Linked DNA regions of Rattus norvegicus. The protein of the gene in region 1 interacts with the protein of each later gene in a pairwise test. Links are inferred from orthologs where the notes say so. Each region holds a gene or a part of one and is shown on either strand. Other genes may lie near its edges.

Region 1 (4,169 bases):
TTATAGCTGTTCACCCCAGAGCTGGGTTTATTAAAGTGGTACCAAGCAGCAAACACAGGGCTTCGTGTTTGCACTACTCCTTGGCATCTGCATCAGTTCCTGCCTCCAGGCAAGCTAGCCCTCTATGGACTGGGCTCCATCTCCAGTCCTCAAATGAACATTCTTCCGATGAGGTTTCCTCTAATGTTGGGAGGCATCTAACAAGTAGGATAGGATCTCTATTCTCCAGAAGCTTGAAGCTTGTACACCACCAGAGAAGACAGCCATTAAACAGGCGCTGAGATGATAGGAAAAAGGATTCGAGAGGTTTAGATCCCACCAAAGGGGTCAGGGGAGAGCACTCAGGCAGAGTAAACGCAGGGCTTTTTGAGGGGAAAGTCTGTAGTTCTAAACAAAACCCAGAGTGATGTCCAGCTCTCACTTCAAAACAGATTGTTCAGAGGCCTGTGGCCTTCAGAAAGCTGTGCACAGCAAGTCACTTCTCAGAGAAGCAAAAGAGGCAAGGCGTGGAGGTGCGTGCCTGCAATCTCAGTACTTCGGAGGTAGAGGCAAGAGGATCGGCAGTTCGGGGCTGGGGATTTAGCTCAGTGGTAGAGCGCTTACCTAGGAAGCGCAAGGCCCTGGGTTCGGTCCCCAGCTCCGGAAAAAAAGAACCAAAAAAAAAAAAAAAAAAAAGAGGATCGGCAGTTCAAGATCAACCTGTTACCCAGTTGTGTTCAAAGCCAGCTGGGCTAAATGAGACCCTGTCTCAAGTTGCTCAATAAAGATAGTCTGGGTATGGTGATGCACACCTTTAATCCTAGCACTCACGAAGCAGACGCAAGGGGATCTCTGAGTTCCAGGCTAGCCTGGGCTCGAAAAACAAAACAAAAAGAAAAAGAGACAGCTTGAGCGTTGTGGTACATTTCTTGGGATTATCAGAACTCAGGGAGCAGAGGTAGTAGGATCGCTGTGTGTTCTGGGACAACCTGGTCTACATAGCCATTTCTAGGGCAGTAAAGGCTACATAATGACACCCTGTCTAAATAAAATAAACAAAAATATTTGTTTACAACAAATATATTTACAACATTTTCTCTACAAAGTTGCAAGAATAGAAGTAAACTTTAGTTACAAACTGTGCACATTTTCTGTTCATAGTTTTATTACGAATAAAATCACCGTTAAAAGGCGCAGAGAGCAAACCCGAACACGCAAAGAACGTAGCCCGCGCGTGCGCGCCAAGGGGCGGAGCCCGGGCCGCCTGAGCCCCTTCTTTCTCTTTGTCCCTCCCACTTCCGCGGGCACCCAACCATGCGTCCCCTGCGTGCTGACGTCAGGCGCGTGCCCCTGTCCGGCAGCCGAGGAGGCCCCGCGCAGTGCTGCCAACGCCCCGGCGGAGAAGCTGAGGTGAGTGCGGGGCCCGAGTAGCCTCCCTGCGGGAGCGTCTTCTGCGCCGCCCGGTCCCCTTCCCATGTCCCCCGTCCTCCCTCGGTTCTCGTGGACGCTCGCGGGCGGGGACATCCCGGTGCTTGCGGGCGGCGGGCCGCGAGGGAGGGATTGCCGGGTTCGCGTGCGCCCGCCGGCCCGGGTTCTGAGGGGAACGAGGCGGGGTCGCGGCCAGGTTTGGGGCCGGAATGGCGGCGAGGCGCGGCCCGGGATGGCGGCGGCTGAGGGCACAGCCCGGCCGAGCTGTCAGCGGCGGCGAGAGGACCGGGCACACCCATCCCACACGTTCCCCTCCCCCTCCGGCTGCCCGCGGGCTCTAGAGGCCCCGGGGCGCGGGGTGGGGGGACGTATGGTCAGGACCGGGGTCGGAGGCCGGGGGCTGTCTCTGCGCTGTGGGCCTCGACTTCCTGCTTCCCGGGCTCCGCCGCGGACGCGTTGCGGCTGGCGGGGGAGGGGAGCGGAACTGCGGCCGCAGGGCCGGGCCGGGGCCGAGGTGACGGACCGGGCGGCTCTGCGCCTGCGCCCCTCGGCGATCTCCTGTCCCGCGCCGCGTCCTCTCCTGCCCCGCGGCTCCGGGGGCTCTCCTGACGGGGCCAGCCTCTTTGCCTTCCGGGACCTGCCTAAGTACCTCCCGAAACCCCGCCTGGCCACTTACTCAGTTCCTCATTACTAGCAGGAAAATTTCTTTGTTGACTGCTACTATTATTATTATATATTTTTAAATTCCTCTTTCCACCCCTTTAACTCCGGGAGATATTCAGTGTGGAAGATTACGTCATCGCAGCATAAGGGGTGAAAGTTTTAACTCCTACAAGTCAGGGCTCACCAAATTAAGACAGCATCTTGTGGCCTTAGTGGGTCACTCCACCCAGCACATCAGTTCAGAGTAAGGTGTAAGGTGGCTTTTTTTTTTGTTTTTGTTTTTGTTTTTTGTTTTTTGTTTTTTGTTGAAATCCTGTTGTCTGTCTCCAGACTGCCTGAGATGCACCTGAAATACGGAAGGTTCAAAATCTTAGGTTTAGGGTATTTTTGGTCAGGGAATACACACTGTCTGCAGTCACTTGTGTAGGTATGAACTTCAAAGGGCCCCTTGGCTGTACTCGGGTGAATTTTAAGGAGCAGTTCTTTGCCACACTAGTTGTGACTTAGCTGATGTAAAGAACCCAAATTCAGTGCATGGTTTGAAGAGTGAGCTGAAAAGAGAATTTAGTTATACACCTGATTTGTCTTTGTTAGGATTGCAGCTTCAAAGTTGCATGCTTTAGTTTTACCATGAAGAATGGCTTTTGGATTTTTTATCTTGAGACAGGGTCTCCATAGGTAGTGGTGGTTAACCTTGAATTTAGAGGGACCTTCCCTCTAGTCTCTGCCTCTCAAGAGCTGGGATTACAGGCATGAGCTACTTAAATTGCTACCCTTGTTTTTAATTTTTTTTTTTTTTTTTTTTGGTTCTTTTTTTCGGAGCTGGGGACTGAACCCAGGGCCTTGCACTTCCTAGGTAAGCGCTCTACCACTGAGCTAAATCCCCAGCCCCTTGATTTTAATTTTTAACCCTAAAAACTTGAGTAATACTTTTAGATCACTAGAATTGTGTGTCCTTTGATTATAGTATACACTAGTGTTGAAGTATTCTTCAACATTGCAAAACAAATGAGATCCAGTGTGTAGCACATCCCTGTAAGGGTGGCTCGTATTTGAACAAGACTTTTCCCATTATTGCTCGTTTGTATAGAAAACAGTATTGTTTGTTAAACACTGGCGTGGTGGATTCAAATAGGCTTTCTGTAGTTTGTAGGTGTGGAGCTTGAATCGTCCCAAATAATTTGTTATGCTTCATGTGACATCTAGGAATATAAAATTGGAGAGTACTTATCTACTATTGTGTTTTTTAAAGCCTATATTTAAAAAGTTTACATGTGTACCAATTTGTATTTTTTTTCCCCTTTTTTTATTGAACTAGTCTGGGCTGGTGAGATGGTACAGTGGATAATAACACTTGTCAGACAGGCCCGACTGCCTTAGTTGGGTCCCCCAGAACCCAAGGTGGAAGGAGAGAATCTGCTCAGGAGGCAGAGGCAAACTCTCTGAGTGTGAGGCCAGACTCGTCTACACAGCCTGTCTTGAAAAAACAAAAACAAAATCTGTCTTCTGATCTTCACACTCTTGCCACATGCATGTGTACACATAAATGCACACAATAATAATAAAAATTAAAAACACAATTAGTTTGAATTTGTAAGTTTTAGACAAGGCAAGGACATAAGAGATTGGTAACTGAGTATTTGAAAGGAGTATTTTTTAAACAGTAATTTGTTCAAGACCCAAAATTGCCTTCTATTCTGTTAAACACTTGTTTAAATTCAAGATATTTTCATATTGAGACAGTACCTGTGCTTAGTAAACACATTCCCTGCACCAGTAATCCATGTAAGCCCATCAAGACTAAATCCCCAAGTTTACAAAGTTTACAAATCTTTACAAAAGATTTGTTTTCTTAGGAATATTTTTGCACTTGAAATGTTTTACAGATTGTTTTATTTCAGATTTTCACACATCTATGCAAAATATTTTATATTTTGACCATACTCATCCCTATTTCCCTCCTCTGCCCCTCAGCATGTCCACCTCCCAAGTCTTACTCTTTTTTATGACCCACTGAGTCTAATTTATGCTGCCCCACTCTTCATCTTAAGATCTATGAAACATTTCTAGTTATTTTTACTGCTAAATTTTTTTTGGTG
Region 2 (5,393 bases), on another chromosome or scaffold:
GCTCACAGCGTCTGGAAACCCTACAGCAGAGTTGTCAGGTGGCTTGTGCCCTGCTTCAGGGCGTCATTGACAGTATGAAGGCTATGCGGCAGCCCTTGGAGTCTGGAGTGAGTGTCCCTGCCAAATCTCCTTGAGTGTCCCTTGACTTCCCTTTTCTCTCCCATGTCAACCAATGCCTGGTACTCTCAATTATAGGAAGTTGGTGAGCTGCTACAGCAGGCACAGTCCCTCATGCAGCAGGTATTAGAGTCACCACAGTTGTCATGGTTACAAAGTCAGGGAAGCCTGGAGCTCGCATGGTTGAAACAAGGGATGCCACAGGTGGCCCTGAGCCCCGATTACAGGTAACTACAAGCCCAGCTATCAGAACTTACCCCAGCTCAGCTGCCTGCATTTGTGTTAAGCACTCAACTGGCTAACTCAGCACATGCTAGATTTGAGTCCCAGAGTGCAGAAATGGGACTGTCGGAGCACAGGACAAGACTGTGCTTTTCACAGGTCTGCAGTAGACAAGGCTGATGAGTTGTATGGTCAAGTGGATGAACTGTTGCATCGGCTAACCCTGAAGAGCAACCAGCGAATCCGGGCCCTAGAGCTCCTCCAAGCACTGGAAGCCCAGGAGGGTGTGCTGTGCCAGGTAGAAGCTACTGCCTCCTGTCCTTGGTCTCAGCAGTCACTCCAACCATAGCAGCTGCCTTTGCATCCTTCTGCTTGTGTCCATCCAGATTGAAGTGTGGCTACAGGAGGTGGGCTGGCCAGGGCTGGAGGAACCAGGGGAGCCCTCACTGGACATGCTACTCCAGGCCCAGGGCCCTTTTCAAGAGCTGGACCTGGTTGCCCAGGTAGGTTTGGTTATTTACTTGTGCAGCGACTGGGCCAGGGGTCTAGGACTGTGGCTTGAGTGAAGGCAAACAATCTTCTCTCTCTTGGAGGTTACCTCAGCAGAGATCAGTTGTAATAAAGGGTTCATAGATGTCTTTGCACACACAGACAAGGACTCTGGAAAGAAGCAGCATGGAAGTATAATTTAGGGTCAATAAGGCAAAAAAGAATTAGGAAAACAGTATGTTCAGAACTTAATGTGGCAGAAAGTCAGGTGTGTGATGCATGCTGTTAGTCCCAGCACTCCAGAAGCAGAGGCAGGAGGATTGCTGTACCAGGACTACATGAGAGATGTATAGATGCCAGATCTGAGTCTGCGCTGATCACCAGCTGAGTCTAGTTTGTCTCTCCAGGAACAGGTCAAGCAAGGGGAGAAGTTACTGCAGCCATTAGTTGGCTGGGAGGCTGCTGAACTGGGGCCCACTGGAAAGCGCTTTCTGGCCCTGAGATCCCAGCTGATGGAATTTTCCAGAGCTTTGGCCCAGCGGCGCCAGCGGTTGGCAGATGCTGAGAAGCTGTTTCAGTTCTTTAAGCAGGTGGCTGAGGAGGTCCCTATCCTGGCTTTGCCCAAGCTCCACCCCTAACTCTGCTTGGCTTGCTCAAGTGTGATCTTGCTTTCAGTGTGATCCCAAGTTCAACTTCTGGGTTGTAGTCTGGGATCAATGTCCTCAGACCAGCCAGTGGGTGGGACAAGGGAGCATAACAGAAGGCACTTCAGGCTTGCTGGGGTCCTGCTTTTATGTCTGTGTGTGTGTGGCCTTGGTGTTGCAGGCCTCAACATGGACGGAGGAAGGGCAGCGGGTGCTGACAGAGCTGGAGCAGGAGACCCCGGAGGTTGTGCTGCAGCGACTGCAGCTGCACTGGAGCAAACACCCTGACTTGCCTCCTGCCCACTTCCGGAAAATGTGGGCTCTGGCTACAGGCCTAGGCTCAGAAGGCATTCGCCAGGAATGTCGCTGGGCCTGGGCACAGTGCCAGGACACCTGGCTGGCTCTGGATCAGAAGCGTGAGGCTGCACTAAAGCCACAATCAATGAATAGCACAGCTACTTTGTATGTCAGGCGGGCTCCTGCTATACCCACCATCCCTCCACTGAGGAAGTCCTACAGCTTTGATCAGAATCTGGGGAAGCATCTTGGAGATGCTTCCAATCGTGGCCACTGTGCAGCCACTGTTACTGACTGCCACAGACCTGAGGCCAGAGGAGGCATCCGGCCCAGGTCATCACCTTCTGTGCCTCTGTCAGGCAGTTCTGACTTCAGGAGCCCCAACAGGTATAGATGGAAGGCAGGGCAGGGAGGTCTGTGGATGGTCTTGGGTTCTGACTCCACCTACCTCATAGGCTACAGCTAGTATTGGCGGAGATGGTGGCCACAGAGCGTGAGTATGTCCGGGCCCTTGACTACACCATACAGAACTACTTCCCTGAGTTAGATCGGTCCGATGTGCCCCAGGGCCTCCGTGGCCAGCGTGCACACCTCTTTGGCAACCTTGAAAAGCTTCGGGATTTCCACTTCCATTTCTTCCTGCGTGAGCTAGAGGCTTGCACCCGGCACCCACCTCGAGTGGCTCATGCCTTCCTGCGCCACGTAAGTTCCATAGGCCAGACAAGCCCTAGAGATTTGGACACCTACTTAGTGTCAGGCTCCGTGCACAGAGTGCTGTGTCACACTGAGTGCTGTGGGGGCAAGCAAACCACTACTAGGTACAGCTGTGAATGAGACCCACAGAAATGTCTACCTCTTAGTGGATTTTACGTTCTGTAGGATAGATGTACAAATAAAAGAGATCATTCTAGATTACACTTAGGATGGAATTAAACAGGAATATTTTCTGTGAATTACATTTGGGGCTGGGTTCCCAGTTTAAAAGTGGGGATGTTTGAGTAGAGGCCAAAGGACGAGTAGAGAGTGAGTTGTGCCCCCAGAAGAGGCTTCATGGACATCATGAGAATGGCCAGGTATAGTGAACACTAAGTCGAGGTCCCAGAACCCTGGGAGGGGCAGAGCTGAATGTGGAGGCTGGCTGTGCAGCCTGACAACTCTGACACAGCATTGCTTCGTGCTGGCTCATCCTCATTCAAAGTGGGATCTGCAGGAGTAGGGCAGATCAGCATTGGCATCTTAAGCTAAGAGGTGGGGGTTTTTCTGGAAATCAGTCTCCTGGCACCTGGGCTGAGTTGTGTATCCTTCCAGAGGGTGCAGTTTGGAATGTATGCACTCTACAGCAAGAATAAACCTCGGTCTGATGCCCTGATGAGCAACTATGGCCACACCTTCTTCAAGGTAGGAGCCTGAGACTGTAGGAAGAGTGAGGCTTGGTGGGCATCCCCCAAAACCACTTTTTTCCCTCCCCCCAAAACCACTTTTATCTCCTCACTGATCGCAGGAGAAGCAGCAGGCACTGGGAGACCACCTGGACTTGGCTTCCTACCTGCTAAAGCCCATCCAGCGCATGAGCAAGTATGCCTTACTGCTGCAGGAGCTGGCGAGGGCCTGTGGGGGTCCAGCACAAGAGCTGGGTGCCCTTCAGGCAGCCCAGAGCCTTGTGCATTTCCAGCTGAGACATGGCAATGACCTGCTAGCCATGGATGCCATTCAGGGCTGTGACGTGAGTCACCTGGGCCATGTGGGGAAGCACCGTGGATTTAGAAGGGCGTGGGACAGCTGGCCATCTAAGGGCTTCAACTTTGCAGGTTAACCTCAAGGAGCAGGGGCAGTTGGTACGACAGGATGAGTTCACAGTGCGGGCTGGGCACCACAAGTCCTGTCGTCGCGTTTTCCTGTTTGAGGAGCTGCTGCTCTTCAGCAAACCTCGACGTGGGCCTGCAGGTGTTGACATATTCACCTACAAGCGTTCCTTCAAAGTAAGTCTCCATGACTCTGACCTCTGCCTCCAGCCCCACCCCCCATGCCTCACCACACTCCTTTCTACTGGCCATGTAGATGGCAGACCTCGGCCTCACGGAGTGCTGTGGGGAAAGTAAACTGCGCTTCGAGATCTGGTTCCGACGTCGCAAGGCCAGGGACCTGTTTGTGCTTCAGGCTTCCGATGTGGCCACCAAACAAGCCTGGACAGCTGATATCTCCCGTCTCCTCTGGAGGCAGGCTGTACACAACAAGGGTGAGTCCTTATACAAAGCCCCAAAATACATGTCTTCCCAGGAGCCTGAGAAGGGTTTAAGGGCCTCACATACTCCCTAGAGTGCATCCTGCCAGAGACTGGGTTGGATTAGCTTGGGAAGAATGGAGGTGCAGCAGCAGAAGACAGTGCAGGGGAAGAACATAACTTTTCCTCTCAATACCAGAGCTCTTATGCCCTAAAAGGGACATCGTGATACCTTTCTGTGGGGTACTTAGAGGGAGAGGATTCTGGCACCAGAAAGGATCACAGTATAGAGTGGTTAATTTCTGGGTTATGTGTATATAGGAAAAACTCATTAGGTACATACATCTCAGGGAGCCTCACTTATGCCTTATTTTTTATTTACTCAGAGGTGCGCATGGCTGAGATGGCATCCATGGGTGTGGGGAACAAAGCCTTCTGGGACATTGCCCCCAGTGAGGAGGCTATCAATGACCGCAACATCAACTATGTGCTGAAAAGACGAGGTAGTAGGCATCCTACAGAGGGTGGGAGTGAGGAGGCAACAGTCTGGCCTGTGCTCCCTGGCTGCCTCAGGCCAGACTGGGCTCTGATCTGTCCCTCTTTCTTATACAGATGTTCGCTCTAGGGCCTCCATTGCTGTGGCCCCATTTGACTATGACAACCCTTATCTGGGTGCCTTGGCCTCCCTACCTGGAGACCGTGCCTCTTGCTCTGTTCTGGGGTCTCTCAATCTGCACCTGTACAGAGATCCAGCTCTTCTGGGTGTTCACTGGTCCTTGCTTCCACCCAACTTCCCAGAAGAAGCATCACTAGATACTGAGGTGGACTTGGGCAGCCAGCCTTCTTTGAGTATGTGTGGGCTTACTCAGGCGGGAGGCATGGCTTAGGTCTGGGTCTCCCCTGCTAACAGTTCACCCACTTTCCCTCCTTAGCTCCTGAGGACTCAGAGGTCTCATCCCAGTGCCCATCAGCCAGTGGCTCTAGTGGTTCTGACAGCAGCTGTGTGTCGGGGCAGACCATGGGCAGAGGCCTTGAAGACTTGTCCTGTGTGAGTACCATCTTTTGCCTTATGCCCACCAGCCCTTCCCTAACCTACCCTGGGCTATAGCTGCTTTTTCTTTAGGGGAGTTGGAAATGGGTGGGTTGGAGCTGTTCCCTAGAGGATTCCATGTCCACCCCTAGAACCAGAAAGGAGGGAGGTAAAACATTGACTTTGCTTGACTTGGCACCCTAGGTTTGAGTCTGGCTTGAAGATGAACATCACTCAGTAACTCCATGGAATTCCACACCTCTGAGTCTGCCCTAACCAGAGCATGGCTGGCTCCTGGGCCATCTCATCCCCCACCACTCATACCTAATAGGAATATCCTTGTTGATTACCTTTCTGATGTCTGTAGCTATCA

What was found. The genes of interacting proteins can lie anywhere in the genome.
Region 2: the proteins of Cdc42 (region 1) and Plekhg4 interact in a two-hybrid assay, tested with the Homo sapiens proteins (2 studies listed by BioGRID and IntAct, with this or other methods). The link is inferred for Rattus norvegicus from reciprocal best matches to the Homo sapiens genes CDC42 and PLEKHG4.

The regions. Positions count from the first base shown.
Region 1 is NC_086023.1:154,873,712-154,877,880, reverse strand, and holds the start of Cdc42 (cell division control protein 42 homolog), read left to right. Parts: upstream 1-1,369; 5' UTR 1,370-1,389; intron 1,390-1,395; exon of another isoform or gene 1,396-1,507; intron 1,508-2,183; exon of another isoform or gene 2,184-2,321; intron 2,322-3,059; exon of another isoform or gene 3,060-4,169. UniProt on the Homo sapiens protein: Plasma membrane-associated small GTPase which cycles between an active GTP-bound and an inactive GDP-bound state. In active state binds to a variety of effector proteins to regulate cellular responses. Involved in epithelial cell polarization processes.
Region 2 is NC_086037.1:50,163,980-50,169,372, forward strand, and holds part of Plekhg4 (puratrophin-1), read left to right. Parts: intron 1-8; coding exon 9-107; intron 108-195; coding exon 196-344; intron 345-498; coding exon 499-637; intron 638-725; coding exon 726-842; intron 843-1,235; coding exon 1,236-1,418; intron 1,419-1,653; coding exon 1,654-2,156; intron 2,157-2,224; coding exon 2,225-2,471; intron 2,472-3,077; coding exon 3,078-3,167; intron 3,168-3,270; coding exon 3,271-3,492; intron 3,493-3,577; coding exon 3,578-3,748; intron 3,749-3,827; coding exon 3,828-4,005; intron 4,006-4,376; coding exon 4,377-4,493; intron 4,494-4,602; coding exon 4,603-4,839; intron 4,840-4,922; coding exon 4,923-5,038; intron 5,039-5,224; coding exon of another isoform or gene 5,225-5,230; exon of another isoform or gene 5,231-5,393. UniProt on the Homo sapiens protein: Possible role in intracellular signaling and cytoskeleton dynamics at the Golgi.